Linked DNA regions of Anolis sagrei. Each later gene encodes a partner of the first gene's protein in a complex. Links are inferred from orthologs where the notes say so. Each region holds a gene or a part of one and is shown on either strand. Other genes may lie near its edges.

Region 1 (7,848 bases):
GTGTGTTTATTACTTTGCTTCACAAGCAGGTTCCACAGGGCAGAACACCTGAACAGGGCCTTGGTTGTTATATGCCTTTGAGTCACTTCTGACTTGTTTTCTGGGGCTGAGAGCAAGTGGCATTGAACCATGGTCTCCAGAGTTGTAGTCCAACACTAAAGCCAGCACATCACAATGACTCTCAGATGTAGACTGAATTCAGCGAGACTTCCTTCTAAACAAATGTATGCATACAATGACACAATACAGGGGGCAACATGGTCATGATAAAGTCTAATAAAGCATACTGAATAACTGTGAAGAAAACGGTTCTGCATGACACATATAAGTAGCATGGCTGAATGTACTGCAAAAATATAATATAAGCAGCCCCCAAGTTGGGTTCTATAAGTTTGATTTTAAGTTGAATTTGTATGCGTCAGAACAAATATATTATTTAATTGCAACTTCATACACACACACACAAAAGCATGCATCCTTTGGATAGTATAGGGAAGGCTCAGAGGGCCCTTCCACATAGGATATCAAGGCAGAAAGTCCCATAATATCCGCTTTAAACCGGTTTATCTGAGTCCACACTGCTATATATCCCAGCAGATAATGTGGGAAGCTGTGGAAGGGGTCTGTCAGGTCTGGCCAGGGCTATTGATGGCAGGGAGATACTTCATTTACAAGGTTGCCATAAATCAAAGGGCCCTTCCACACAGCCATATAACCCAGAATATCAAGGTGGAAAATCCCACATTGTCTGCTTTGAACTGGGATATATGGCAGATATTGTAGGATATTCTGGGTTTCACAATGGTGTGGCATTGAGGGCTGTGTGAGTTGTGGAGTGATGAGTGTGTGCTGGGGAAAGCATTTATGGAAATTTCTAATTTCTTTGTGCAGTAGCACAATGACGATAGTTATTCAATTCTATATATATATATATATATATATATATTTGTGAAACTCCATATGTGATGCCTGTTTAATTCTGTTATAATGTTGTTTTATTTTAATGTGTCATATTTTAACTGTCTTGATCGGGCTTGGCCCCATGTAAGGCGCCCCAAGTACCTTCGGAGAGATGGAGGCGGAATACAAAAATAAAGTTATTATTGTTGTTGTTTATTCATTTGGTCACCTCATGGACCAGCTTTTGCCAGAGTTCCCTCTCAGCCATGGCCACCCCCAGCTCCTTCAAAGTTAAAGGTATTATTACTATTATTGTACTGACACAAAAACACAGCATGTCACAGCAAACGAGACCTATATGCTGGATTTCGTATCAAAAAAATCACAAGTCGAACACTTCCCAAGCGTATGTATTTTTGAATGATGCGCACTGATCCAAGTAAGGTGGCCTTTTGCAGTTGACAGACCATGATTTTGTCAATGTTTATTGCTTCCAAATGCCAGCTGAGATCTTTTGGCAGGGCACCCAGTGTGCCAGTGACTACTGGGACCACCTGTACTGGTTTATGCCAGAGCCTTTGCAGTTTGATTTTAAGGTCCTGATAATGGCTGAGTTATTCTTGTTGTTTTTCCTCAATGCGACTGTCACTTGGTATGGAGACATCAATAATCCAAACGTTTTTCTTTTCTACAATCGTGATGTCTGGTGTATTGTGTTCCAAAACTTTGTCAGTCCAGATTCGAAAGTTCCACAGTATTTTTGTGTGTTCATTTTCTATTATTATTATTTGTGTGTGTGTATACGCACACACACATATACTTGGCTGGATGAAGTTAAGTGTAACTCCATCCATGTGTGTGTGTGTACATATCTGTGTGTATATCTATGTATGTATATATATATGTGTGTGTGTGTGTGCATATGTGTGTATATATGTATCTATATCTGTGTGTATGTATGTATGTGTGTATATATATATGTGTGTGTGTATATATATATATGTATGTGTGTATATGTGTGTACATGTGTTTGTGTATGCATGTATATATGTGTATGTGTGTATATATATGTGTGTGTATGTGTATTTGTATACACACACATTTGTCTGGAGTTACACACACATGTATATGCAAGCTTTAGATAGCATAAGAAAATACAGTATATATGTGTGTGGGTATATATGGCTGGAGTTACACAGGCTGAGGCAGCATAACTTCCTTTTTTCAAAACTTAATAAAACCCATTGTATGAATCAGAATTTTTTTAAAAAAATTTATAACGTAAAGTTTTCTTTTACGTCGTTTTGAAGATCAAATGAGGTAGGTGACGTCCCCCATTTTCCATACACTGAGTAAACTGATTTTTGGCGTTGGTCATGACTCTTGCCAGCATAGCAGGTGTGATGTTGGCAGTTTCTTCCTGGATGTTGGCCTTCAAATCTTGTAGGGTCCTTGGACGGTTCACATAAACACGGGATTTCAAAAAACCCCATAGAAAAAAAATCACAAGGGGCCAACTCTGGAGAGTGGGCTGGCCACTCCAAATCTGCTTGAAAAGTAGGCCTCAATGGCCAAAGCACACTCCTCCCTGTTCCAACGCAGGATGGCGACTGAACTGTGTCAGGACAAAACTTTATATTCCCGCCTCTCGAACGAGACCACTAGCGCTCCGCTACGTCTTCAAACGAATGAATGGCACGCATTTTAAAAAAGGAAGTTATGCAGCCTCACCCTGTACTTAAATCACGTCCCTGTTCCGACTTACATACAAATTCAACTTAAGAACAAACCTACATAACTTTTCTTATTGGTAACCTGGGGGCTGCCTGTATTGAAGAGTCTACATTGTTTTATAATCCAGTTCAATCTGCATGATTAGGGCAGCAGTATAGAGGGAGGCCTGCTTCATCTCTCTTCAGGGAGGCACACACACAAAAGCGAGATGGCGATGGATACCTCAGAATACAAACTGTGTAGAGCAGGCCTGGGCTAACTTGGGCCCTCCCTCCAGGTGTTTTGGACTTCAACTCCCACAATTCCTCACAGCCTCAGGCCCAGGGGCCTGAGGCTGTGAGGAATTGTGGGAGTTGAAGTCCAAAACACCTGGAGGGAGGGCCTAAGTTGGCCCAGGCCTGGTGTAGAGACACAGGCTTGAAGGCAGCTAAGGCGGCGGCCCCATCCGATGGTCTTGAGTGGTGTTCTGCGGGGGAGCCCTTCCCCTCCTCCACTCCTCAGCCCCGGTGCGGACAGGGTTTTTATCGCGCGGCGAGAGCGTGTTCTCATTCCCCTCACCGGGCGGGCGGTCTCCATGGCGCTGCAGGCCTCTCTCTCTCTCTCTCTCTCTCTCTCTCTCTTTCTCCCAGGCAGGCGACGCCTCCCGGTCTCCAAGGGAGGGAAGGGAAGGAAGTCCAAAAAACGTCACCAAGGCCTCCCCCAATCGCAACACTCGGCCAGGGAAACCCCTCCAAAGGATTTCATGGCAACCCTGAGATTGCAAGACCAGGCAAGTAAACAGACCCAACTCTTCCAATGCCATCTGGATGTGTTGACAACTAAGCAACACAGAATATCAGGGCAGAATAACCCCACAATCTCTGCTTTGAACTGGAATACCTGAGTCCACACTGCCATATATCCCAGTTCCAAGTAGGATTTTATTCAGTTGTGAGGAAAACTATTAAAAGCAGTCAATGTGGATTATCTTGCTTTGATGATCTGGGTTATATGGCAGTGTAGATCCAGCCTAGTCATTGAAAGACTACAGCAAAATGTGCTGCAGAATGTCCCGCCAAAACAAAGTTTTTGCAATTTCATCAACTTTCCCCATGTTTTTTTATAATAGAACCAATTAGGAAATGACATTTATTGCAAAACAAAGAAAGGGACTTTTTTCATGGATGGTGGGCTTGTGAACTGGTGCAGGTCTATTGGAAAAGAATAATAAAGGAAACAAATAAAATGATTCACAACAAAGTAAAAAAAAAGAACCCAGGGATGTGCCTATTAGGGATATTCAGGGATAGATTAGATCAGTGGTTCTCAACCTGTGGGTCCCCAGATGTTTTGGCCTTCAACTCCCAGAAATCCTAACAGTTGGTAAACTGGCTGGGACTTCTGGGAGTTGTAGGCCAAAACACCTGGGGACACACTGAACAACCAGAGAGAGAATTTTGTTTGTACAGCTTTGTGGCTGCACGCATTACAATTGCCAAAGACTGGAAAGGGGAGAAAACATTAAGCATCAATGATTGGAAGGATAAACTGTGGGATTACACACAGATGGCTAAGATTTCTAGCAATTTAAAATATGAAAGTCATGAAATATTTGAAAGAAACTGGAAGCTGGCCTTAGCATACTTGATGGGAGAGCTAAAGAAATAAAAACAAGAGGAATTTATTGAATTAGAAGTATAGAGGGTTAAACAAGATGTGCATAAATCCTGCGGGGATCAGTGACAGAAGCCAAGGTGGCGGATAGCACTGGGGGTGGGTTGAGGGGTAACTACTGTGGGTGGCGGGTTGTCTACGTATGTGTATGTGTATGTGTACAGGGTTAGTCAAAATGCATAGGCCAATAAGCCATTCAATTGAATGGCTTATTGGCCTATGCATTTTGACTAACCCTGTATATTTCTGCAATATATATGGTTGGTGTATTATCTTTTTGAAAGAAAAGAAAAAGGAAATGACATTTACAACCCAGGAACAAAAATCATGTCACATAATGTTACTAAGAAGCCTCCGGTGGCACAGCAGGTTAAACCACTGAGCTGCTCAACTTGCTGACCAAAAGGTTGCTGGTTCGAATGTGGGGAGCGGTGTGAGCTCTTGCTGTTAGCCCCAGCTTCTGCCAACCTAGCACTTCGAAAACATGCAAATGTGAGTAAATTAATAGGTACCACTCCGGCAGGAAGGTAACAGCGCTCCGTGCAGTCATGCTGGCCACATGACCTTGGAGGTGTCTATGGACAACGCCAGCTCTTCGGCTTAGAAATAGAGATGACCACTACACCCTCAGAGTCAGACACGACTGGACTTAATGTCAGGGGAAAAACATTTAACCGCTTTGAGCCCCCCCAAGGGCTGAGAAAGGTGGTATGTAAATACTGTAAATAAATAAATACATATGTATGTGCGATATGTCATTACATTCTAAGCCAGCTGTTACAATCTGTTTATATTCAAGGAATTGTTGTACAATGTCAGTCACCAAGTTGCCCTCTGGACGGCACCAAGTTTCAGTTGTAGATTAGGTCCTCTTTGAGGATCGGGACATCCGTAGGGATACCAAGATGCTTGTTTATAAAGCTATTGTCCTCCCAACCCTGCTAGATGCCTGTGAGATGTGGACTGTCTACACATGCAACTCCTAGAATGATTCCATCAGTGCTCCCTCTGGAAAATCCTGCAAATCTCTTGGGAAGACAAGGGGACAAATGTCAGCGTGCTGGAAGAAGCAAAGACCACCAGCACTGAAGCGATTGTCCTCTGCCATCAACTCCGCTGGACTGGCCACGTTGTCCGGATGCCTGACCACTGTCTCCCAAAGCAGTTGCTCTACTCCGAACTCAAGAATGGAAAACAGAACGTTGGAGAACAGGAAAAGAGATTTAAAGATGGGCTCAAAGCCAACCTCAAAAACTGTGGCATAGACACTGAGAACTGGGAAGCCCTGGCCCTTGAGTGCTCCAGCTGGAGGTCAGCTGTGACCAGCAGTGCTATAGAATTTGAAGAGGCACGAATGGATTAAAAAATAAGGAAGGAAAATTACCGTCACAAGAAGAAATGAAATTTTGGACAGATGAAATGTAAGAATGGTGGCTTGAGACGGGTGGAGGGGAGTACTGTGGCGGGGGGGAAAAAAAAGGAAAAAAAAAGAGAAAAGGAGGGGAATTGTCAAAGCAAAACAATAAAACAACATGTTAAAGAGGTTGATGTATAAAATGCAATAGTATGTAATAAATGTGATAAATCAATAAAAAAATTATTAAAAAAAAAAAAAAAGAAGAGGCACGAATGGAGGGTGAAAGAGAGAAACGTGCCAAGAGGAAGGCATATCAAGCCAACTCCAACCGGGACCGCCTTCCACCTGGAAACCAATGCCCTCACTGCGGGAGAAGATGCAGGTCAAGAATAGGGCTCCACAGCCACCTACGGATCCACCTCCAGTACACCAATCTTGGAAGACAATCCTACTCGAATAGCGAGGGATCGCCTAAAGTCCCAAGGTTTTATCAGACAAATCAGGAGCTGATTGACTAATAACCCTAACCCTAATCCTTGGAGCATCTTGAGATGACTAACAGCCATTCTTGCAGCACTTTTCCTTCTGTGGGTCACATGGTGTCACAAAGTGATCCTGGAACCTTGATGTTTGCGAATTGGCCAAGGCCAGAAATGAATGCAAAGAAAACTCCTCTTCCTTGGTGTCATTCCCACTAAATAACTGTCAACAACCAAGAAGAGATAGTTTATAGCACAAAAGACTGTCTTGTTAACTTATGTTTTTTGGGGGCGGGAGGGAATTCTCAAACTTCTGAATGCTGAAAGGAGAAGAAATCTTACAAAATCCCCAAATGTGGAAAACAATATGATGACTACAACTGGCTCAAACAGATAAATGCAACAAAATAAATTCTTTTAATTTTTCCCCATAACAATTACATTACATTCTGACACTACAACCTAACAGTGTTTTGGAACCAAATTAATGTTACTGAATACACAGTGTTTAAGGACACCACATCACATAGTGGTTTCATTTCTCTTCACTTTAAGCCATGAGTTTTGGTTTGATAAACCAGACAGTGAAATGAGGTGTGCTACTGCCTTGTGGATTCTGGCATGCATCCACAGTTTAATGGCCATGACTCCATCCCACAGGATTTGGGTGGTGACGGTTTTCTAATGAACTATCCTGAACTCCAGCCCTAGAGATCTCTGCCATCACAAGCAGTAAATACTACATCAAGCTACAGATCCCAGGACCCCGTAAGGTGGAACTGTGGCAATTAAAGCAATATAATACTACTATAATTGTCTAGTTTAGTTTGTTTATACCAGTGGTTCCCAACCTGTGGGTTCCCAGATGTTTTGTTCTTCAACTTCCAGAAATTCTAACAGCTGGTAAACTGGCTGGGATTTCTGGAAGTTGTAGACCAAAATATCTGGGGACCCACAGGTTGAGAACCACTGGTTTAGACAAAAAAAACCCCAAAAATATTTTGTTTATCTCCCTACACCAAAAAGGAGTGAATTGCATCAGCATATTGCTTGCTCAGTTGCTGGTTTATTAAGCTTTAGTTCCTGGCTCAAAGTGATATGGACTATGTCCAAGAATTTTATAGCTTCTTGCTTGAATCATCTCCAAAATCCCTTTAAACAAAGATATATTTTATCTGGCAGTCCCAGCATTATGATTAATGTTGTAGTGAAGCATGAACTCTATACAATCAGTGTAAATCTGTCTAGTCTTGGAAATTATGGCTGATTCTCTGAGCAAATCCATGTTGCTGGGACCCACTGAGGTTCGTCCTGTGCTCGACGTACAGCAGACAGCAACTGAAGACAAGCTTCCTGTAAGTTGTCATTCACAATCACTTGGTCAAAGAATTGGCCAAACTGAGTTTCCATTTTTTTAGCTGATTCTTCCATCTCCTGCAAGTCTTCTTCCTATAGAGAGCAATTGAACAAAAGGGCTAAAGTCATCTCCTGAAATGATATTGAACCTAGTGGAATTGTTTTATTGCTGTTGACTTCAAAATCAACACACCATCTATTCTCATAAGATGTCAATATATGTATCTCTGAGTAATAGTTACTCTGATATGTTTTTGTTTAATTTCATAAGCTGTAAATAGTATGTAATAATAATGAACCAAATATAAGTACACTTTACATTAATATAGATTAAAATATGCATAAAAACATAAATATGTATTAGTTTTT
Region 2 (7,842 bases), on another chromosome or scaffold:
AAGCTTCAGTAGAGACACACTTCCCCATGATAAATCTTTAAGGATTCAATTCCCCTTCCGAGGGGCAGATTTCTCTCACTTCCTGTTGTCTCATCCCCATTCTTAACTTTGAGTCGTTTGTAAGTCAGATGTCTGTAACTCAAGGACAGCCTGGATTATCAAAAAGATCTTCTATTTCTCCTTTTGCTAATCTTTGCTTATACATTAGCTTTTCTGATAGCTAATGAGACTCAAGTATTCACAGATTTTGGTATCCACCTACAGAGTCCTGGAACCAAACCCTAGCATATACCAAAGATCCACTGCATATTTATACAACACATTGAATCCATTATGAGAATACCTTGGCTACTGCCTCCAGCAAATTATCTGCAAGTTCCTCTTGACGGGGCAAAGCATCAGGATCTACTCTCATAAGCTTTTTCCATTCTAAAATAGGTGCCATCTTGAGTGTTCATTTATCTCTGTAGATTAGAAGAAGAAAAGCTGTATGAACAGAAACATATGCACAGCTTATTGATCTACTTTTAAAGCGGAAATCTTCAAACAATGAGTCAGGGTGGGGGTGGGGGGTGTGAATGTTGCAACTGATCACCTTGATTAGCACTGAATAGCGTTGCAGCTTCAAAGCTTGCCTCCTTCCTACCTGGGGGAATTTTTTGTTGGGTAGTGATTAGCTAACCCTGACTGTTTCTTGTCTGGAATTCCCATTTTTGAGTGTTGTGTGGCCCAATCAACAATTGGGCCACAGAGTTTACAGAAAACCTACACACATGGATAGATACCTACATAAAAACTCCAAACATCACCCAAGTAAAAAAGAAGAAGAAGAAGAAGCACAATTAAAGCTCTGGCAGACCATGCAAAAAGAATCTGCGAACCCCACCTTCTCCAAGATGAACTGAACCACCTAAACCGGGCTCTACAGGCCAATGGATACTCCACCACAGACATCAGAAGAGCTGCAAGACCGAGAACAAGCCACGAGAGTAAAGACAAAGATCCACCCAGAGGAAAAGTGTTCTTGCCATACATCAAGGGAACCACTGACCACATAGGAAAGCTGATAAAGAAACACAACCTACAAACTATCTACAGGCCCATTCAGAAAATCAAATAAATGCTATTTCCAGCAAAGGACAAGAGGGATCCTCTCACTTCTGCAGGAGTCTACTGTATACCATGCAGCTGTGGATAAGTCTACATAGGGACCACCAAAAGCAGCGCCCAAACACGAATAAAGGAACATGAAAGGCACTGCAGACTGATTCAGCCACAGATGTCAGCCATAGCAGAGCACCTGATGAACCAACCTGGACACAGCATATTATTTGGGAATACAGAAATGCTGGGCCACTCTCACAACCACCATGTCAGGATACACAGAGAAGCCATTGAAATCCACAAGCATGTGGACAATTTCAACAGAAAGGAAGAAACCACAAAAATGAACAAAATCTGGCTACCAGTATTTAAAAACTCTATAATCAGGATGGTAAATAGAGAGCAACACTCAAAAAACAAAGGAATTCCAGAAAAGAAACAATCAGGGCCAGCTTTTCTTTTCTTTTTGGTTGTGTCAGGAGCAAGTCGCTTCTGGTGTGAGAGAATTGGCAGTCTGCAAGGACGTTGCCCAGGGGATGCCTGGATGATTTGATGTTTTTATCATCCTTGTGGGAGGCTTCTCTCATGTCCCCGCATGAAGAGCTGGAGCTGATAGAGGGAGCTCATCTGCCTCTCCCCAGTTTCGAACCTGCGACCTGTCGGTCTTCAGTCCTGCCGGCACAGGGGTTTAACCCACTGCACCACCGGGGGCTCCAGGGCCAGCTAACACCTCCCATCAAAGGAGCCCCCCAGGCAGGAAGCAGCCAGGCTTTGAAGCTGCAAGGCTACTCAATGCTAATCAAGGTGGCTAATTGTAACATTCACACCTGCCTCAAGCAGACAAAAAGTTCTTTCTCCCACCTTGGACATTCCACAGAAATATAAACTACACTTGCTTAGTTTCCAACAGATTTCACAACCTCTGAAGATGCCTGCCATGGATGTAGGCGAAACGTCAGAAGAGAATGCTTCTGGAACATGGCCATTGTTGTTGTTCATTCGTTCAGTCATCTCCGACTCTTCGTGACCTCATGGACCAGCCCACGCCAGAGCTCCCTGTCGGCCGTCACCACCCCCAGCTCCTTCAAGGTCAGTCCAGTCACTTGAAGGATGCCATCCATCCATCTTGCCCTTGGTCGGCCCCTCTTCCTTTTGCCTTCCACTTTCCCCAGCATAATTGTCTTCTCTAGGCTTTGCTGTCTCCTAATGATGTGGCCAAAGTACTTCAACTTTGTCTCTAGTATCCTTCCCTCCAGTGAGCAGTCAGGCTTTATTTCCTGGAGGATGGACTGGTTGGTTCTTCTCGCAGTCCAAGGCACTCTCAGAACTTTCCTCCAGCACCACAGTTCAAAAGCATCGATCTTCCTTCACTCAGCCTTCTCTAAGATCCAGCTCTCACATCCGTAGGTTACTACAGGGAATACCATGGCTTTGACTAGGCGGATCTTTGTTGCCAGTGTGATGTCTCTACTCTTTACTATTTTATCGAGATTGGACATTGCTCTCCTCCCAAGAAGGAAGCGTCTCCTGATTTCCTGGCCACAGTCTTCATCTGTAGTAATCTTTGCACCTAGAAATACAAAGTCTGTCACGGCCTCCACGATTTCTCCCTCTATCTTCCAGTTGTCAATCATTCTTGTTGCCATAATCTTGGTTTTTTTGATGTTTAGCTGCATCATACATACATGGCCATACAGCCCAGAAAACTCACAGCAACCCGATAATAATAATACGAATAGTACCTCGATAGTTTGCGCAGGGCCCGGTACTTTCTCTTAAACTGTCAGTAGGTTTACTTCACAGAGAATGGCTGAAGGGCGGCAGGGCCTTCACCCTAAGCCTTCCTTGGGCGACCACAAGGCCTCGCGGCTGTAAAACCGACACCTTCAAAGGCAGCGCTGATCCTGCTCAAGCGTCTCCCGCCCTTCCCGCTCACTCCCCTTTCCCCTGGCTTCCGTTGACAAAGAGGAGGAAGGAGGAGGAGAGATGGCCGTTGCTGGGCGACGCCATCAAACACTTCTCTTCCGGGCTCAAAAGAACCCGGATATTCTTTAACCTCCCACAAAATGTCCTGCCGAAGACTACGCTACCCACAGTGCTCTACGCACTACCGAGAGGCGGACTTTCACAACATCGGCCGCTTAGCATGCTGGGACGTGGAGTTTTTTCCCCCCAGAGCGGCTTCTCAGCATGCTCTGTCGTCACGCCGTAGGGGGAGACAGAGTCAGCGCCTGCGCAGTGCGAGAGGGGAGTCTCCAGTTGCTTTTTCATGTTCAGGGGCTGGAGAGAGACATGGTGGAAGAGATGCTCCAGCAGAGCCTCCGAGTTAATGTGGGAAGCAGGGCTGCTTGTGCCGGCTTCTTGCCAAGGGCGGTAATGTGCTAAAAGGTAAGGAGAGGGTTCCTGGCATCTTTAGAGGGAGGAAGAGGGTTTAGAAAGACTCAGGGCGGTGTAGTAGGGCTGCCCCTGTTTTCTGCATCTCACAAGGCTTACCTGTATGTTAAGTGAGAGGAATGCTTCCATCTATTGCTAGAGGTGGCCATCGCAGAAAAAAAGTGGGTGGTTTCCCATGAAAGTGTTCACACGTGACGCTGGTGAAGACCCGTGTTCAGACCCTACAGTTTGAGTATCCTTCATCTGAAATGCTTGGGACCAGATATTTTTGGATTTTGGAATATTTTCATATTCATAACTAGCTGTACCCGCCACGCGTTGCTGTGACCAACCTTCCCTCCCTCTTTCTCTCCTTCTTTCCTTTTCTTCTTTCCTTCTCCCCTTCCTTCCTTCTCTGCCTCTTTCCTTCCTCCCTTTTTCTTTTCCTTCCCTTTCTCACCTTCCTTCCTTCCTTCCTTCCTTCCTTCCTTCCTTCCTTTGCTTTTTGCTTCCATCCATCCTTCTCTCTTTCCTTCCCTCCCTCTTTCCTTCGCTCCCTCTTTCCTTCCTTTCCTTTTTTCTTTCCTTCTCTCCTTCCTTCTTTCTATCCCCCCTTTTCTTTTCCTCTTTCTTTCCTTTCTTCCTTCTCTACCTCTTTCCTTCCTTCGCTCTTTGCTTTCATTCTTCCTTCTCTCTTTCCTTCCCTCCCCTTTTCACTCTTTCTCTTCTTCCTTCGCTCCCTCTTCCCTTCCTTTTCTTTTTTTCTTTCCTTCTCTGCTTCCTTCATTCTCTACCCCTTTCTTTCTACACCCTTTTCTTTTCCTCTTTCTCTCCTTTCTTCTTTCTCTACCTCTTTCCTTCCTTCCTTCGCTCTTTTCTTCCATGCTTCCTTTGCTCTTTCCTTCCTTCCTTCTTTCTATCTTTCTTTCTTTCTTTTTCCCCTTCCTTCCTTTCCTCCCTCCTTCTCCTTTTTCTGTATGTCATTTAGCTTTTTGTCATTTTGCTTTGGGGGGGGGGTTTAAATCCTTTCCACTGGTTTTTTTTTGGGGGGGGGGGAGGGGGTATGAGTGATGGTCATTCATTGGTTTGTTAGGGGTTCATGTAACGGCATCGAATTGCTGCCTATGTAAGCCATCCTGAGTCCCCGTTTTGGGATAGAGAAGAGACAGGATATAAATACCAGAAATAAATAAATAGTGTCCAAATTTTGTGTCATTTCATCTAGTGGTTTTTGAGTTACGTTAATCCCACAAACGAGCATTACATTTTTGTTTATATAGACTAGCCATCCCATGCCACGCGTTGCTGTGGCCCACGTGGGGAGTCTGTGTGGGAGGTTTGGCCCAATTCTATTGTTGGTGGGGTTCAGAATGCTCTGTGATTGTAGGTGAACTATAAATCCCAGCAACTACAACTGCCAAATGTCAAGATTCTGTTTTCCCCAAGCTCCACCAGTGTTCACATTTGGGCATATTGAGTATTCACGTAGAGTTTGGTCCAGAACCATCATTGTTTGAGTCCACAGTGATCTCTGGATGTAGATGAACTAAGCTCCAAAACCAAAGGACAGTACCCACCAAACCCTTCTGTTGGTCATGGGAGAACTGTGTGCCAAGTTTGGTTCAATTCCATCATTGGTGGGGTTCAGAATGCTCTTTGATTGTAGGTGAACTATAAATTCCATCATTTTTTTTGAGTGAAGGACATACATTGGGTTGTTAGGTGTCTTGTGTCCCAATTTGGTGTCAATTCGTCCAGTGGTTTTTGAGTTCTGTTAATCCCACAAACGAACATTACATTTTTATTTATATATATGAGAGATCTTGGAGGTGAGGCTTAAGTCTACACCAGGCATGGGCAAACTTGGGCCCTCCATGTGTTTTGGACTTCAACTTCCACAATTCCGGCTGTTAGGAATTGTGGGAGTTGAAGTCCAAAATGCCTGGAGGGCTGAAGTGTGCCCATAGAATCATTGAGTTGAAAGAGACCTTGTGGGCCATCCAGTCCAACCCTGATGCCCATGCCTGATCTAGACACAAAAACCATATATATTTCATATACCTCTTTGACACATAGCTTTAAAGTATATGATGTGATATATTTTTAAATAATTTTGTTCATGAAAGAAAGTTTGTGCACATTGATCCAATAGAAAGCAAAGGTTTCACCCAAGTGGGCAGTTTCAGATTGTGGAGCATTCAGGACAAGGATCCTCAACCCGTATCACTAATTATCCAGTTATCGATTGCTTTGAGAGCTCACATCCAAAGGGATATAATCTGATGGATGCTCTCTTGGAAATGAGCACCAGTGTGCACAGTTGGGATTCCTTGTAAATTAGTGGAAGTCTCCACTGCTGCCTACCGTTCATCTGAGGCTAAAGGGGTCTGAATTAATTGTTTGTACCTGAAGTAGCCTTCAGAAGAAAAGTAAAAATTTGGCTGTGGGATCAGGCTAACCGAGAATAGTGCAGTGCAATATTAGCAATGGCCATGGAACGGCTTTGGACTATGATTTCTGGATGGTGTGATTTTAATATTGAATGTAATGCTTTTAAATGCTTAATATATATATTAATTTTAATTTAATTTATTTTAGGCTTAATGTTTGTATGAATAAGTGCCCTTGAGTCCCCTTCGGGATAGAGAAACGCGAGGTATAAATAGAACATAGACATAAGATTAAAAGGTATTAAAATCATTCATAAATGTCACTTTAAAATTCATAGTTTAAAATTGATTGGGTAGGCCTGTTTTGAATTCTAACAGCTTTACCTGTCTTCTAGCAGATCATTCAACAGTCTATATAAGGAAGAACACAATTCCTTGTATGTGGTTCTATGTAGATTCATGAAGACTTGGTGATTGTCAGTCATTCAGTTTGACTCTTATCTTTATGAGTATTTGAAGAGACATGTTTCATACATTTATGCAAAAGTTGTTCTGATCGATGGCTCCCTTCTCCCACAAGTGTCATTGAAATGAAGAATCTTAGCTTGACAGTCAAAAATACTCTGTTGTTTTGCTTGATCTGTTATCATAAGCAGCCTTGAGTAAATTGCCTCAGAAGCGGCATCGTAATTGAGCTTCTCAATAATGCTGAACTAGCAGGCTCTTTCTAATGGTCTGCTTTCATTATTTATGTGATTGTTAGCTGTGTGCAATCATAGGCCTGGAAAATAACAATCTGCTACATATAAATATTTGTGATTTCATCCTGTCACTTCTCAGATAGTTTTTAAGTACTTTTGAATTGTTTTCCTTTTCGTATCACAGACTCTTGTACCATATTATTAATGTGCCTTGAAGCCCATCTGAATTCAAAACATAAAAGCACAGGAACAGTTTTATGTATGGCCCATGGACGTGGTCAGTACATGCATTATTGAGAATACAGCATACTTCAAATGTACATTTTATCTTCCCATATGTCATATGTACTACTCCAGCATTCGACACTTTTTTGTTTCCTTAATTAGTAACCTGTAGTCTTCCAGGCAGCACGACTAGTAGTCTGGGATGAAGGAAACTGGTCCAACAACAGCTGGTCACAGATTTCCCAGTTCAGTTCTATATTCTGTGCTAATTTTTCTTTTTCTTTTACCTTTGTAAAAGGTAAAAGCATTTTGTAATACTTCTAAGGAGGATTTTAAGCAGGCTGGATGGTCATCTGTCACGAGTGTTTTGATTGTGTATTCCTGCATATCAGGTGGTTGAACTGGATGGCCCTTGTGGTCTCTTCCAACTCTATGATTCTAAGATTGTATGTTGTTTTATCATCTTGGCATGTGAAAAAAATCACCCTATACATTGTATTTCGAAACAGATGCTGTCTCCTAAAGTTTTTGATGTATTTTTGATCATTTTCACCCCACTTTCCTTTTTGTAAATTCCCAGAGCAGCATAACTGAAACGAGCCATATAACTAAAAAGCTGTTTAGGATTAGAAGTTACACAACAACAGTCAAATAAACAAAAGTTTTTAAAGTTTTTATTTTAAAAGACCATAAGTGGGATCATCCAGTGAGGGTAGTACTGAGCCATAGCACTACTATTTAAATGGCTGTCCTGTCCTCACTTGCATAATGGTTTGGCACTGTGACATAAATAGAATCAAACATCCTTCTTCACTGAACTTACAGCCTAGAAACATACACTCCTTGAGATTATCAGAATCAAAGGTGTGTCTTAAAGGTGTGTTGCTGCTGCTGGTAGTCTTGCTGTTGTGTGCCTTCAGGTTTTTTCTGACTTTTGGTGACCCTAAACGGAATATCAGGGATTTTCTTGGCAAAATTTGGCCAGAGGGTGTTCACCTTTTTTGAGACAGAGAGTGTGACTTATCCAAAGTCACCCAGTGGGTTTCCAT
Region 3 (8,769 bases), about 12 Mb from region 1:
AAACCCAATGCTGAGCAACATACTGAAAGTATGGAATAAATACAAGGGGAGGTTAATAAAGGAAGGATCAATTATAACCCCAATAGTGATGGAAAAGAAATTCCCAAAAAATTTTTAAAAAGCAATGGATAAAAAGGTAAGGGAAATAAATTTAGATAGAATAGGGGATTGGATGAAGGCGGAAATGAAGAGGGAAAGGATGTTGGAAGAGTTTAAAGAAATAAAATTATCATGGTTTCATTGTATACAGCTAGAACAATGGTTAATAAACTGGAAAAAAAAATAGAAACGGAAGCCAACTCAATCAATTTGAACAAATAATACAGAAGGGAAGGGCAGTAGAAGAACACGGAAACTTGAGAGGTATAATTAGCAAAATCTATAAGATACTAATTGAAATGAAGGATGGGAAAATGAAAAAGAGTACCCTTAAGGAGATTTGGGAAGAGGATTTAGGGATAAAAATAAGTGAAATAGAGTGGCAACAGTTATGGGGACAAAGACATTTAAAAAACCTATCGATACGTGTTAAAGAAAATTATTACAAGTTAATATGGAAGTGGTACTTAACACCGGTAAGAATAGCATATATGAATAAAAACAATTCAACAAATTGTTGGAGAGGATGTAAAGAACCAGGAACATATATACATATGTGGTGGCAATGTAAATATGTAAATAATTTTTGGGAGAAAGTATTTAGAGAAATAGAAAGTATAATGAATATGAAAATAGACAAAAGTCCTAGTATAGCCTTATTATCATTATATACCAATAAGCAACTGAAAAAGGAGGATAAAGAAGCGATAACAAACTTACTAACTATAGCAAGACTGCTCATAGCAAGGAATTGGAAAAAAGAAATGAATATACGAATAGAGGAGTGGTACAAGGAAGCATGGAAAATAGCATTAAATGACAAACTGACATGTATATTAAAGGTTTAAAAAGGTATATGGAAACAAAGTGATTTTGATGCTATATGGGGAAAATTTGTGGTAAATGGATTAAAAAATAAGGAAGGAAAATTACCGTCACAAGAAGAAATGAAATTTTGGACAGATGAAATGTAAAAAATGTGGCTTGAGACGGGTGGAGGGGAGCACTGAGGTGAAAATAGGGGGGAAAAAAAAAAGAGAAAAGGGGAGGAAATGTCAAAGCAAAACAACAAAACAACATGTTAAAGAGGTTGATGTATAAAATGCAACAGTATGTAATAATTGTGATAAATCAATAAAAAAAAATTAAAAAGACACCAGAGGCACTCCAAATGGCCAGCCTCTGGTCAAAGGAAATTTAATATAATGCCAAGTTTTGAACTTTGTTTTTTATACATTACTAGCTGTCCCCTGCCACGCATTGCTGTGGCCCATATGGGGGTTCTGTGTGGGAGGTTTGGCCCAATTCTATCGTTGGTGGGATTCAGAATGCTCTGTGATTGTAGGTGAACTATAAATCCCAGCAACTACAACTCCCAAATGTCAAGATTCTATTTTCCCCAAACTCTACCAGTGTTCACATTTGGGCATATTGAGTATTTGTGTAGAGTTTGGTCCAGACTCATCATTGTTTGAGTCCACAGTGATCTCTGGATATAGGTGAACTACAACCCCAAAACCAAAGGGCACTGCCCACCAAATCCTTCCAGTATTTTCTGTTGGTCATGGGAGTTCTGTGTGCCAAGACTGGTTCAATTCCGTCGTTGCTGGAGTTCAGAATGCTCTTTGATTGTAGGTAAACTATAACTCCCAGCAACTACAATTCCCAAGTGTCAAGGTTATTTTCTCCAAACTCCACCAGTGTTCACATTTGGGCATACTGAGTATTTGTGCCAAGTTTGGTCCTGATCCATCATTGTTTGAGTCCACAGTGCTTTCTGGGTGTAGGTGAATTACAACTCCAAAACCAAAGGACACTGCCCACCAAACCCTTCCAGTATTTTCAGTTGGTCATAGGAGAACTCTGTGCCAAGTTTGGTTCAATTCCATCATTGGTGGGGTTCAGAATGCACTTTGATTGTAGGTGAACGCTAAATCCCAGCAACTACAACTCCCAAATGAGAAAATCATTTTTTTTTTAATGGACATACATTGGGTTGTTAGGTGTCTTGTGTCCAAATTTGGTGTCAATTCGTCCAGTGATTTTTGAGTTCTGTTAATCCCACAAACGAACATTACATTTATATATATATATATATATATAATTGTAGTAATTAATTCTTAATTACTTTGGCCACATCATGAGGAGACAGCAAAGCCTAGAGAAGACAATCATGCTGGGGAAAGTGGAAGGCAAAAGGAAGAGGGGCCGACCAAGGGCAAGATGGATGGATGGCATCCTTGAAGTGACTGGACTGACCTTGAAGGAGCTGGGGGTGGTGACGGCCGACAGGGAGCTCTGGCGTGGGCTGGTCCATGAGGTCACGAAGAGTTGGAGACGACTGAACGAATGAACAACAACAAATTTTTAATTTACTTCTGACACGATTCCAGCAGTGTTGTGTGTAGAGGTTTTCCCCTGACATTAAATCCAGTCGTGTCTGACTCTGGGGTGTGGTGCTCATCTCCATTTCTAAGCTGAAGAGCCGCCGTTGTCCATAGACACCTCCAAGGTCATGTGGCCAGCATGACTGTATGGAGCGTTGTTACCTTCCTGCCAGAGAGGTACCTATTGAACTACTCACATTTGCATGTTTTCAAACTGCTAGGTTGGCAGAAGCTGGGGCTGACAGCGGAAGGTCACACCGCTCCCCGGATTCAAACCTGTGACCTTTCGGTCAACAAGCTCAGCAGCTCAGCCAGCGCTTTAACCCACTGTGCCACTGGGGGCTCCTAAGGCCCCTTATACCCTGCCATATAATCGAGGGCCCTTCTAGACAGGCTCTATATCCCAGCATCTGATTCCGCGTTTTCTGCTTTAAACTGGATTATATGAGTCTGCACTGCCAGATAATCTGGGATAAAGAGAAAATCTGGAAGCAGATCCAGGAATATAGGGCCTGTCTGGAAGATCCCCCAGATTATCTGCTTTGAAATGGATTGTATGGTATTGTAGAACAATTTTAGGAAAAATGTGTGCTGTTTCCGAAGAGCCAGGAACAAGAAGTTGGGGTGTTAGGCCGCAGACCCGGCGTGGGCTGCACTGTCCGACCAGTAAGCAGGGAGAGTGGGGACCAAGAAGGGAGGGGCTTCTCCTCCTCCCCCTCCCTCCTTTTTTTTTACTGGCGCGTGCCGCTCCTCGCGCTCTCAGGTCAAACGACGACGCACAAGGCCTCGCGCCACCGTCCACCCTTTCTGCCTTGAGGCAAGCTCCTTTCCAACCCCTTGCCACCTTCGTCGCCATCTTTGGAGCTGGCGAAACACCGCCCCTCCCCTCACCCGGAACGTCGTCGCCTCCGCTCTCGGGCCCCGTGCGGCTGTTGTCAGTAAAGACCGTGCGGCTGAAAGAGTTGAGCCGACGCCTGACCGGCTCCGGTAGGGACATGAGGCCTTAAAGACAGGCAGCCGCTGCCGCCGTCGTTCGTTGCCGTAGCAACAGGGGGCGTGGCCGGGAGCCTAGGCGCAGGCGCAGAGTCGCTCCTTCAGAAACCTGGTCCTCTGGGCCAGTCCCACACACAGTGTCTCTCAGCCAGAGAGGGCGCCGCGTGGCGGGAAAAGTCTCCCCGAACATAGGCTGTTAAAGTGAGACAAACCTTGGGTTTCAGTGGCAGACTTTGCTTACTCTTCCTAGCCCAAGAATTGAAGCCCCAGACAAGCTTTTAGTAGTGAGAAATGAACCCTTAGGCCCTTTCCACACAACTGAGTAATATCCCACACTATCTGTTTTGAACTGGAATATATAGCAGTGTGGACTCAGATATCCCAGTTCAAAGCAGATATTGTGGGTTATTCTGCCTTGATATTCTGGGATATAGGGCCCTTAGAAGACGAATATAGAACCTTTTAATTTCGTTAGTTATTCAGCTAAGTCTGTACATGGTCCTCAGTTTAGGTCTTAGGGATATCCGGCAGTAATACTATGAAGTCGTAAAATTGCAGCTTGGCAAAATCAAAACAGAGTCCCAGGGCCCTTCCACACAGCCATATAATCCAGAATATTAAGGCAGAAAATTCCACAATACCTGCTTTGAACTGGGTTATCTGAGGGCCCTTCCAGACAGGCCCTATAGCCCAGGATCTGATCCCAGGTTTTCTGCTTTAAACTTGATTATATGGGTCCCCACTGCCAGATAATCTGGAATAAACAGAAAACCTGGGATCAGAGCCTGGGATAAAGGGCCTGTCTGGAAGAGCCCCTAGTCCACACTGCCATATATCCCAGTTCAAAGCAGATAATGTGGGATTTTATTCAGCTGTGTCATTTTTTTTAATATTTGGCATTTCAGAAGTACAGGCAGTCCCCAAGTTACGAACAAGATGGTTCTGTAGGTTTGTTCTTAAGTTGAATTTGTATGTAAATCAGAACAAGTAAATGTCTTATATGTAACTCCAGCCATATATATATATATATATATATATGGGCATGTGTACATGTATATGTGTGTGTACATTTATAGATGTATATATATATGTATGATGTGTGTATGTGTATATATATAAACGACTCCGGCCCTGTTTACCTCTCCGAACGTATTCTCCCCTACGTACCATCAAGATTACTAAGATCGTCTGGAGAGGCCCTGCTCTCGGTCCCACCGGCCTCACAAGCGCGCCTGGTGGGGACGAGGGACAGGGCCTTCTCGGTGGTGGCCCCGCGACTCTGGAACTCTCTCCCACTGGAGGTCAGAACCGCCCCGTCTATCCTGACATTCAGGAAACGGGTGAAGACGTGGTTGTGGAGACAGGCTTTCGATGAATGAGACAGCACCCTAGGATTGTGTATGGAAGATGAGGTATACTTGTTTTTAATTTGATGACTGACCACCGTAGTTTTAAATATAGTTGTTATTTTAAATGTGTTATTGTAATTATGAACTATGATATTTTACTGATTGTATGTTTTTATGGTTGTAAACCGGGCTGAGTCCCTCTGAGAGGTGAGAAGCTCGGTATAGAAAATTTTGAAATAAATAAATAAATAAATATGCTTTTCATAGCAGAGTGTGATGTTTGCTTTGCTGTCTGTGCCTCTGTTCAGAAGATTTCAGAAGATTTCACCTCACTTTCTGTCCCCTTAATCATTTGATTTTGAAAGAAATGGCTTGTGGAAACAAGGATTGGTGAGAAAGCTTCAGTTGAGACACCTTTTCCCCATGATAACTCTCACAAGAGCGGATTTCCCTTCCTGGAGGTAAATTCCTCACTCCCTGCTGTTAACTATGAGTTGTTTGTAAGTCGGATGTTTGTAACTCAGGGATTGCCTGTACAAGTGCACTTAAGCATAGCAAAGCCAAGAGGCTTAAGATTCCACCATTGTTAGTATCCCTCTGCTACTTAATTAAATGTATCTCTGAAGGTGGCCAATTCTGCCAAAGTGGCAGTGTGCAGTTATGTTCAGTGTATTCTGAAGCTCACTGAAAAACAGGGCAGATGACACTAGAAACAGCACAGATCCTACAGTGGGGGTTGCTCTGGCTTTAGACCTCATTGAGATGTATAGTTTGTAATTACAGTTTTGATTATTCCATAGCATTGAACCATTGCACTTAAAGTGGTGTCAAACATCATTAATTATACAATGTACATGCACCCTTTGATCTACGTTTTGGAAGCCATCAACCCTCACCCCATCCTGCACCTAACCAAGTCTATGAGCAACTTGTGCATTGCAATTTAGTTTTGAAATTTTCCAGTTGTGGAAACATGTCTGATTCCCAAGAATTTGCATCTCTTCAAGAAGTTTGCTCAAATACTAATTTTATATTCAGAAAAAGAGGAATGTACTTTCATAAACAATGATAATAAAACAAACGATGCAACTAGCTTGACAAACCACTGCCAGATTTCTTGTCTCAGGGCATCCTGATAACATAATCCTCCAAGTACTTCTCCCACCCATTGTGAAGAACCTGTGAAAAGGACGGGCTGAATGCCAGCAGATCGGTTTGTCAGCCGCTCTTCTATTTATGTCACCATCACTTTAACACCCAGCGAACGCTTTGTCTGGCTCAGAAGAATAAGTGCAACTGATCCGGCCTGGTTGGAGACCCTGATTTGTTTCACATAATATCACATATTGCTATTTGTTATGACATTGGCAAGCCAAATGTCCCAGTCTTTTTTTTTTACTCCGTTCAATATTATTGACTGGTAGGAGTTGGTACAAAGGTGTATTATTTTCAGTCATACTGTCTTGACTAGAGTTAGTACAGTCTTTGATGGGTAATTCCAATTTAGCTGTCCATGCAAAAGCCATTATAAGCAATCAAATATAAGAAGATATTTTGCATTGTTTTAATTTTAATAACAAAAAGACTTTTAAAGAAAGAATCGTGAAAAGCATCTCAAGGGTCTGATGAGATATACTAATTTATGGTAGGTATATGGTACATGCTCAAAGCAAAAAGACATAGCTATGTGTAGTATTATTATATTTTATAATAATTCTACTTCCATCTGCCCCTGCAACATTCAAAAATGCATGGGCTGAAATTTAGAAGTAGTTCTCTCAGTGTTCCAGCTTTTCCTGTGTTATGAATTATGCAGATTGCATCCTACAATCTTTGTCTTAGAGTGATGCATTTAACTGTCTTGTGCTGAGATTTCCTTGTGATATATTGGCAGTTCTCAGTTTATGGACAAGAAAGGTTATGTAGGTTTGTCCTTAAGTTGAATTTGAATGTAAGTCGGAACAGGGACATTTATAAGTGCAACTCTAGCCTATTTTATTTTATTTTTGAATAGCATAGGGAAGGGCTAACAGCTCTGTAACGTTTATTTTGCTGTCTATGCCCCTGTTCAGAAGATTTCACCTCACTTTCTGTCACTGTGACAATGGTTTTTGAAAAATTTGGGTTGTTATGGCAACAAGGATTGTTGCTAAAGCTTCGGTGGAGATACCTTTTTTCCCATGATAACTGTCACAAGAGTGGATTTACCTTCCTGGGGGTAGATTTCCACTAGTTTCCTGTTGTCTCAGAGACAAAAAGTGAGGTTAAATCTTTCTAATGAGGATGCAGCAGTATAAATCCCACAGTGGCTCCAACCCCAGACCATACTAACCAAAACTAAAAAGAAAAAAGAAAAATCTACATGGAGTTCTACTTTTAATGCAACTTGGACAGTTGCTTACCTTGACATGTTTATTTTTACCTGTGCACATAAATACTGCAAAGGCTCAGAGTGCTGCTGGTGCCCCCTCTTGCCTGCCTGTAACTAGGGGTTTGTATGTAAGTCGGATGTCGAGGACTCGGTGATTGGCTGTACATAGCTTTTGGAACCCTTGCTGCAAAATAACAGCACCCTATATGATTGCAAGCCATGAAACTGAAAGGGACTATCTATTAGGGCCAAACTCAGCTTAGAATACATATTAAAAACTTGGATGTTTGAACGGGCATTCGGTTATACAGTGCAATGAATGTGATGATTACAGGAATGGAAATTTGGACGACGGATTGGATCACGACTCTAGTTATGAGATGCATTGTGTTGTCTTTGTTGTGTCAATATTGTATATTATGCTTTTATGGTTTTAAATTGTATATCGTTGATTGATTCTTATCCTTGTTGTAAACCGCGTTGAGTCGCCTGTTGGGCTGAGAAACTGTGGTATACAAGTAAAGTAAATAAATAAATAAATAAATAAATAATATCCAGCCTACTAAAAGCTAAAACATTTTCATTAGAGCCACAGTGTGCACGGCAGGGGGATTGAACTCCATAGAGAGGTTAGAATGGCCCTCTCCTTGCTGTCCTTCCGGTGGCAGGCTAAAACCTTTTTATTTAGCAAGGCTTTTTAAAACAGGAAGTTTTAAAGAGCAAGGCCAGGGGTGCTGCATGGAGTTAGCAATTATTTTAACAGTTTTACTAGTTTTTATCATTGATTTAATCATTCTAATATTTAATTCTATATTAACATTTATATTGTATAGCTTTTGAAACTGTATAGTTTTAAAGGCTGTGAGCTACTTTGGATCCCAGTCCTGGGGGGAAAAGTGAGGTACAAATTATCATCAATTCCTTCCTAGTTGTGATCCCAGTGAATCAAATGCGTGGTGCTGGTGAAAGAAAAGTTAAACCCTCCCTCAAGTACTCTTGATGGAATTACCATGCCCCAGCACCTGACAGTGTTTTGGGCTTTTCCTAAATTAAAAAATGACATATTTTGCTTTACTTTTGCTCCTAGTTGTTCATTAACAGGTGTAGAATGATAGGACCTGGCTGGTATTCTTGTTCAGTATCTATGAGACTGTAGGCCATTCTTAGGATCTTGTAACTTTGGAGATTCACATCTATGCAGTACCACAATCAGTGGGTTTCTGAAACAGCAGATTAGGGTGACAGAAACTGATAGTAGTAGCACTCCTGTGATTGCAGGGTGCATTGAGAGAAGCATTTGCAGCAGAACCCCACAGATCCCCCCCCCCCCCCCCCCCAATTTGCCTATCTCAGTGTATGACTAGCCATGAAGTCATGATTTCTGCTTCCCTGATCTGTAGAACCTCAGTTGTGGAGGGAAGGATGGCACCATGAATTAAGATGAGAGAGCTCCAGTATGTGAATTACTTTTGATGATTTCAAGTCTTAGGCTGGATCTACAGTGCCATAGAAGGCAGTGTACACTCATATAATCCAATTCAATGCAGTTAATTGTAATAATCTGCTTTAT
Region 4 (7,782 bases), about 84 Mb from region 1:
GGTGATTATGTGGAAAAATAATGTAATACCTATGCTACAATCCATATAAGTTTTATTAAATTATATTTGTATTTTTAAAAAATCTTGTAACTTTGCTTTCTGCATAACAACTCATATAAGGTCAGTGCATTGCATACTGTATTTCCGCTACATATTACATAATAAATATGTCATTTATTGCATTATACAATATAATTTTCTGAGCTAATTCCAATCCAATAAGCCTTTATTGGCATATGCATAGCAAAAAGGTATAAAATACAGTACAAACCACAGAAAAGGGAACTTCACATTTCCTACACATTCAGTTCACAGACTTTGTTCAGGAATCTTGCCACTAAAAGGCAACAGTTAAAATCTTGACAATTTTAAAAACAAAATTACTTTGTCTGGATCACTGAGATAATTACAGAATTGTGAATAGAACCAGTGTATATGTAATAGAATTTTACTATTCATGTGCAAAAACTCATGGAGATGTGATTGCAAAGACCAGCAGAAAGTATGAAATGCTCTTTAAAATGGTTTCAGGAAAAATCTCAAAATTAATTTTTTGATATAAAAATCAATGAATGTATATAACTTCATTGCCACCTAGAGGACTGTTTGTAAATTACGGATACTTCTACACTGAGATTTCATCTACATTTCCTCTTCTTTTTCCTCAACGTGTGCCCCGCTTGATAACAGGGACTGCTTTACTGGTTTTTGTATTATACATTTCCTGTACATTATAATGCAGGTAACAGCATTTTCTTTTCTTTTTTAAGTCCATCATCATTATTTTCAAAATATGTGCCACATTTGGAGCTATTAAATATGTAACAAAATTTGAAAAGTTTTCTGTTTCTAGTTTGAAAATGTTATTTCGTGTTTAACTGTGCAATACTTACTTTAAAAGTAGTTGTTATACTCTAGAAACTTCATTTTTCTACTTGCCACAAACTATGTTGAATTGGTTGAGATTATTCAGATATTAATCAGGTAACTCATGGAAAAACTATAGCAAAATGTGCTGCAGGATGTCCCACAAAACCAAAGTTTTTGCAGTTTAATAAACTTTTTCTATTTTTTATGATAGAATCAATTAGGAAATGACATTTATAATATAGGAACAAAAATTGTGTTACATAGTGTTATCCATCTTAAACATAGATCTCATTCAAACTGCCATATAATGCATATTGACTGTATTACATGAATCTACACTGACCATTATAATACAGTTTTAAACTTCATTATATGCCAGTGTAAATGGGTCCACAGTTATCTAAAACCCAAAGTATGTGTATGTGAGAAGGATCTTCAACAATAATTAATGCAAATTTCCTCATGGGGGAGAGGGGATTCAAATGAATTTAATTTGGAAAATGACTAAAAAGCATAAAAGACCACCCCACATAACTTGAGTTATGTTTAAGTCTAATATCTACTACTGATAAATATTTTTAAAGTTTGGTGTAAAAAGATTAATTTAAACATAATTAAAAATACCTTTAAAGGGTTCCAGACATGTTCAGAAATATGAAAATTACAAAGAAATAAAAATGATATGTCGCTATTTTCTTGTATATGAATGGTTTAGTCACCAAAATATATTAGCAATTTAAAATATAAAACCAATACAAATTTATTTATTTATTTATTTAATTGTGTCATCAGCAACCATACCATTGTGTTACAATTCTAACAGAACAAAACAATACAAATTGTTCTGACCAATACAAATAAGTTCAAATAGAAGAATCTGACCAGCAATGTATCAAAATTCACTACGTTTAATCTGTTGTTCATTCGTTCAGTCGTCTCCGACTCTTCGTGACCTCATGGACCAGCCCACGCCAGAGCTCCCTGTCGGCCGTTACCACCCCCAGCTCCTTCAAGGTCAGTCCAGTCACTTCAAGGATACCATCCATCCATCTTGCCCTTGGTCGGCCCCTCTTCCTTTTGCCTTCCACTTTCCCCAGCATAATTGTCTTCTCTAGGCTTTCCTGTCTCCTCATGATGTGGCCAAAGTACTTCAACTCTGTCTCTAGTATCTTTCCCTCCAGTGAGCAGTCGGGCTTTATTTCCTGGAGGATGGACTGGTTGGATCTTCTCGCAGTCCAAGGCACTCTCAGCACTTTCCTCCAACACCACAGCTCAAAAGCATCAATCTTCCTTCGCTCAGCCTTCCCCAAGGTCCAGCTCTCACATCCGTAGGTGACTACAGGGAATACGTTTAATCTAGGAAGTTTTAAATTTGAGCTGTGTGTAATGTAGTTGCCTTGTAATTGAATAGGGTTCATTTATCTACAATGCAATAAATTAGAAACTCTGGAACTCCCTTCCTAAAGAAGTTAGAATGGCTCCTTCACTACTATCATTAAGGAATCAAGTAAAAACTTCCCTGTGAAACCAGGAGAACAATAGTACTGAAAATGCCAGATCTATCGTGTGCAATGTTTGAACTGCAATGGACCTGACTACAACCTAAATGAATTGATACCAGATGGGGTTTTTAATGTATTGAATGTTTAATTGCATTTTTGTTAGTCATTAATGTCCATTTTTATCATTTTATTAGATATGGCTATGCTTATGATGGTTTTGCCTACTTTTATTGCATGCTATGTTGTTGCTTTTTGTATGTAGTTTGCCGCTTTGATTTCTGAGCTGGGAAAAAAGCAGGAGAGAAATAAATAAACAAGAAACTGATTGTTTTACTGACACAAAAAGACAGTATGTCACAGCAAACGAGATCTATATGCTGGATTTCGTATCACAAAATCACAAGTCAAACATTTCCCAAGTGTCTAGGACTGTGTGATGTATTTTCAAATGATGTGCGCTGATCCATCATAAGGTGGCCTTTTACAGTTGACAGATTGTCATTTTGTCGATGTTTATTTTTTCCAAATGCTGGCTGAGATCTTTTGGCAAGGCACCCACTGGGACCACCTGTACTGGTCTTTGCAGTTCAATTAGGAGCCCCCGGTGGCGCAGTGGGTTAAACCCCTTGTGCCAGCAGGACTGAAGACCAACAGGTCGCAGGTTCGAATCTGGGAAGAGGCGGATGAGCTCCCTCTATCAGCTCCAGCTCCTCATGTGGGGACATGAGAGAAGCTTCCCACAAGGATGATAAAAACATCAAATCATCCAGGCGTCCCCTGGGAAACGTCCTTGCAGATGGCCAATTCTCTCACACCAGAAGCGACTTGCAGTTTCTCAAGTCACCCCTTACATGACCAAAAAAAAAAGTTTGATTTTGAGTCTTGACAGCGTTTTTCCTGTTGTTTTTCCTCAATGTGACTGTCACCTGGTATGGCAACATCAATAATCCAGACTTTTTTCTTTTCCACAATTGTGATGTCTTGAGTGTTATGTTCCAAAACTTTGTCAGTCTGGATTCGAAAGTCCTACAGTATTTTTGCATGTTCATTTTCCATGACCTAAGAAACTTATTATTATTATTATTATTATTATTAGAAACCAATTAATTGGACTGACCCTAGGGACTGACACAGGAACAGCAGAACAGTAGAGTTTCCTAAATTTAGGGTGCATTTGTTTATTTATATCCATCCCGCTTTATCTCTCCATATAAAGATAAAGCTGACATTAATTAAGTCTAGTTGTGTTCAACTCTGAGGGTTGGTGCTCATCTCCATTTTTAAGCCGAAGTGCTGGCGTTGTCCGTAGCCGCCTCCTAGGTCATGTGGCCAGCATGACTGCCTGGAACACTGTTATTTTCCTGCAGAAGCAGTACCTATTGATCTACTCACATTTGCATGTTTTCGAACTGCTAGGTTGACAGAAGCTGGGCCTAACAGCAGGAGCTCACCCCACTCCCCAGATTCAAACCGCTAATCTTTTGGTCAGCAAGTTCAGCAGCTCAGTGGTTTAACCCGCTGCACCACCAGGGGGCTTTGATCAGAGGTTCAAATCAAAAACATTACAACTTCAAATATATCAAAATAAAACAGTATATTATATATTATTAGTAAAGGTAAAGGTAGTCCCCTGACATTAAGTCCAGTCATGTCTGACTCTGGGGTGTGGTGCTCATCTCCATTTCTAAGCCAGTGTTGTCCGTAGACACCTCCAAGGTCATGTGGCGGCATGACTGCATGGAACGCAGTCATATATATATATATATAGATAGATAATATTATATTATTATATAATATAATTTTATATATATATATATATATATATTAGTAGTAGTAGTAATTATATTTAATATATTAGTATTACTATATTAGAGTATTATATATTATTATATTGTATTATTAGTAGCATTATATTGTATGACATCTATTGCATCTACACTGTATAGAATTAATGCGGTTTGAGACCCCTTGAATTGTCATCGCTGGAGGCAATGGAAGCCTGGGATTTGGAGTTTGGTGAGTAACCAACCCTGCTTGAGAGGGAAAGGCTAGAGATCTCCCCGGCTTCCACAGCGCGCTTAAAAGTCCTGCCAAACCCATTCATTCTGCATCTCGAAGGCGGAGGGAGAGGAAATCCTCCTGTAGTCTTATCCCGTTGAGGCTGAGTGAGCGCCAGGGCGCATGCTCGCCCTGTCCTGCTATCACGTGCCCTCCCCGCCGTCGCCTAGCAGCCGCTCGTCCCGCCCCCTTCCTCTTCGAGGTCCCCGGCGCGCGCTCAGCGGTAGGTAGGCGATGACTTGATTGGCATGTTCTGAGGGAGGGGAGGGGGGATGAGGGCGAGGCGAGGGGGCTTTGCCGTTCCCCTCCTAAAAGGTGCCCGTTATTCCCTTTCTTCCCTCAGAAGAAAAGTCTCAGTTGGAGGGCCTTCTCGCGTCCCTATGGCGAGCTTTTGTTTCCCACCCTTCCCATTTGGAGTTTAACCCAAAATGACTGTGTGTTGGGGAGGGGGGAGGGGTGAATCCGTAATTGAGAAAAACCAACAACCATAAAGCCTCCTGTGAAGGCAGCGAAAGCCTCAAATCTCAGGCTTTCTCTTTGGGGCCTCATCCCAGCCTGGATACAGTCAACACTTGCCAAGTGGAGTGAATTCGCTCTATGTTCAAAATACTTCAGCAGGGGGTGCTAGAGCCCTTTGGAAAGAGCATTAGGAAGAGGCCAAGGGTGTGCTTTAGTTTTTATGTTTTTCCTCTCTGGGATGAATTAAACCCATGGAGAGGTAGTGAGGTATGAGCTGCCTTGCCTCAGTCCCACAGAATGCTGGGGTTTGTAGTGTGTGTAGCTCTCTGACAGAAGGATGAAGGTGAAGCAACAAAGCCCAGGGCTCTAGAGCAGTAACCAACCCTCTTTGAAACTTGGGCAAACTTGGGCCCTCCAGAGGTTTTGGACTCCAACTCCCACAATTCCTAACAACCTCAGGCCCCTTCCTTCCCCCATCCTCAAAACATCTGAGGGGGTGGCAAACTCTGGAGGGCCCAAGTTTATCCATAACATTGAGCCAAATGATGTCAAACAGATACGTGGGTTCAATGAAAAGTAATGCCTCCCCCTTCGTAACTTCTCAACAGTACTGCTCTCAACCCCATCACTATTGCAAACACGGTTAATGGGGATGAGAGACAGGGCCTTCTCAGCAGTGCCCCCCCCCAGAGGGAATGCCCTCCCTAGAGATATCAGATTGGCCACTTCCCTCTCGTCTTTTAGAAAGAAAATCAAGACCTGGTTATGGGACCAAGCATTTGATCAGTGAGCAGCAAGTGGAAGAAGATCACATAACTTATGGCAATGAATTGACGCGGACTTGTTTTTGAATTTTGATTTTAATGGATGTGTCTTAATTAATTGTTTTAATTTTTAAAAATTTGATTGTACTGTGGTTGTTTTTATGATGCTAGCATCGGATGATGCTTTTGTTAGGCCGCCCTGAGTCCCCCTTCGGGGGGAGAAGGGCGGGGTATAAATATAGGAAATAAATAAATATGCGGCAGGTGCTGGCTTGTTCAGTAGACTCTCCTCTACAGTCCCATTTTGACAGGAAGCCTTAGCATTGAATGCTTGTGTTGTTATAATGTGAAGTATGGAACCCTGTGCAGACGATCGGCCAGTGCGACTTAAGCAACGTGCAGTCATTGAATTCTTGACAGCAGAAGGTGTCACCCTAAAGGAGATTCATCAGAGAATGCGAGCTGTTTATGGTGATTGTGTTGATGTGAGTACTGTAAGTCGTTGGATGAGAAAGTTTAAAGATGCTGTGGTGGGAACATCTGACTTGCATGACAGACAAAGAGTTGGACGTCCTGTGATAGCAACCACCGAGCTTCACAAGCAAAAGGTTGACAGATTGATTCAGGATGATCGTCGTATCACTCAGAGAGAAATTTCAAGCATAATCGGCATTTCACAAGAACGTGTGGGTCACATTATTGCTTTGCTTGGCTATCGGAAGATCTGTGCATGATGGGTATCCACGATGTAGACTTGAAAATTCAGAGACTGGATCTCACCACCATACAACATCCTCCATACAGTCCAGATTTAGCACCGTCAGATTTCCATCTGTTCCTGATAATGAAAGAAGATCTGCGGGGGCATCAATTTGCTTCTGATAAAGACATAGAGAGAATTGTGAGATGTGGGTTGCGGATACAGAGTGTCGACTTCTTCCGTGATGGCTTCAGAAAACTTGTTCATCATTGGCAGAAATGTATCCAATTGTCTGGTGATTATGTGGCAAAATGAATAGCAGTAGTTAAAGAGCACATTCTAAGGATTATTTCTGCGTTTGATTTATGAAAATATTCCCATCCAAACCCAAGTTATGAAGGTGGAGGCATTACTTTTCATTCAACCCTCGTACAATTCTTGCAGTGTGGCTACATTAACAACATTATATCCCACGTTTTCTCTCTAAAAGGAGACAAAGTGGCTTGCATAGCATAGGCATCACCCACTGTTTTGTTATCAATCTCTGCCTTGTGTGTGGTGTATTTGAATTTCAAACATTAGTAACCTTTATTTATATCCCACCCCCTCTCCACAAGGACTCGGGGGGGGGGGGGGAGTTTGCAACAGAATCAAGTTACAATACATACATAAATAAAAGCCAAAAAAGTCAAAACATAATAAATAACCAATAATCATAAACAAAAATCTTGAAAAATGATAAACACGCAGGTTAAGAATTATACTGGGTTTAAAAACATACTGCACCGTGGAGGCAAAACCAGTTTAAAGCCAATAGGTATTGACAAGGCTTAAAGACCACCATCATAATGAATAGTCAACCGTTTTCGAAAGCCAGCTTCCAATTCCAGATTTTTAGTTCTTTCCTGAAGTTAGCTAGAGTGGTCACCTGTATGATTTCTTTAGGGCAGTGGTTCTCAAGATGTTTTGCCCTTCAATTCACAGAAATCCTAACAGCTGGTAAACTGGCTGGGATTTCTGGGAGTTGTAGGCCAGAACACCTGGGGACCCACATTGTTGTGAATCACTGCTTTAGGGAGAGCATTCCAAAGGCAGGGGGGCACCACCGAGAAGGCCCTTTCTCTCATTCCCACCCGCCATGCTTGTGAGGGTGGCGGAACTGTGAGAAAGGCCCCTTGAAGGACCTTAAAGCCCGAGGTGGTTCATAAGGGGAAATGCAGTCACACAGATAGGCTAGACCGAAACCCTAAAAACATTGCCAGAATGTTTTTAGTTAAGATGGTTGCTTAAAAAAATAGAGATTATTTGTAATGAAATGTAACACATCATTGATAAGTTTAAGTTTGTTGTTGTTGTTGTTGTTGTTGTTGTTGTTGTTTTGATTACTGGCTGTTTCATTTTTTCCCATGAAACTTTTCCTCTTATAAAA

Evidence for each region.
Region 2: TMEM237 (region 1) and CEP290 share a complex: the UniProt entries of both Homo sapiens proteins name them as parts of the tectonic-like complex. The link is inferred for Anolis sagrei from reciprocal best matches to the Homo sapiens genes TMEM237 and CEP290.
Region 3: TMEM237 (region 1) and TMEM17 share a complex: the UniProt entries of both Homo sapiens proteins name them as parts of the tectonic-like complex. The link is inferred for Anolis sagrei from reciprocal best matches to the Homo sapiens genes TMEM237 and TMEM17.
Region 4: TMEM237 (region 1) and AHI1 share a complex: the UniProt entries of both Homo sapiens proteins name them as parts of the tectonic-like complex. The link is inferred for Anolis sagrei from reciprocal best matches to the Homo sapiens genes TMEM237 and AHI1.

The regions. Positions count from the first base shown.
Region 1 is NC_090021.1:164,682,879-164,690,726, forward strand, and holds the start of TMEM237 (transmembrane protein 237), read right to left. Parts: upstream 3,311-7,848; 5' UTR 3,211-3,310; coding exon 3,193-3,210; intron 1-3,192. Other genes in the region: MPP4 (MAGUK p55 subfamily member 4), read right to left, coding at 7,381-7,572. UniProt on the Homo sapiens protein: Component of the transition zone in primary cilia. Required for ciliogenesis.
Region 2 is NC_090025.1:152,526,282-152,534,123, forward strand, and holds the start of CEP290 (centrosomal protein of 290 kDa), read right to left. Parts: upstream 3,149-7,842; 5' UTR 2,847-3,148; intron 465-2,846; 5' UTR 446-464; coding exon 344-445; intron 1-343. UniProt on the Homo sapiens protein: Involved in early and late steps in cilia formation. Its association with CCP110 is required for inhibition of primary cilia formation by CCP110.
Region 3 is NC_090021.1:152,382,868-152,391,636, forward strand, and holds the start of TMEM17 (transmembrane protein 17), read right to left. Parts: upstream 3,571-8,769; 5' UTR 3,484-3,570; coding exon 3,378-3,483; intron 1-3,377. UniProt on the Homo sapiens protein: Transmembrane component of the tectonic-like complex, a complex localized at the transition zone of primary cilia and acting as a barrier that prevents diffusion of transmembrane proteins between the cilia and plasma membranes.
Region 4 is NC_090021.1:80,413,423-80,421,204, forward strand, and holds the start of AHI1 (jouberin), read left to right. Parts: upstream 1-4,576; 5' UTR 4,577-4,653; exon of another isoform or gene 4,654-4,657; intron 4,658-7,782. UniProt on the Homo sapiens protein: Involved in vesicle trafficking and required for ciliogenesis, formation of primary non-motile cilium, and recruitment of RAB8A to the basal body of primary cilium.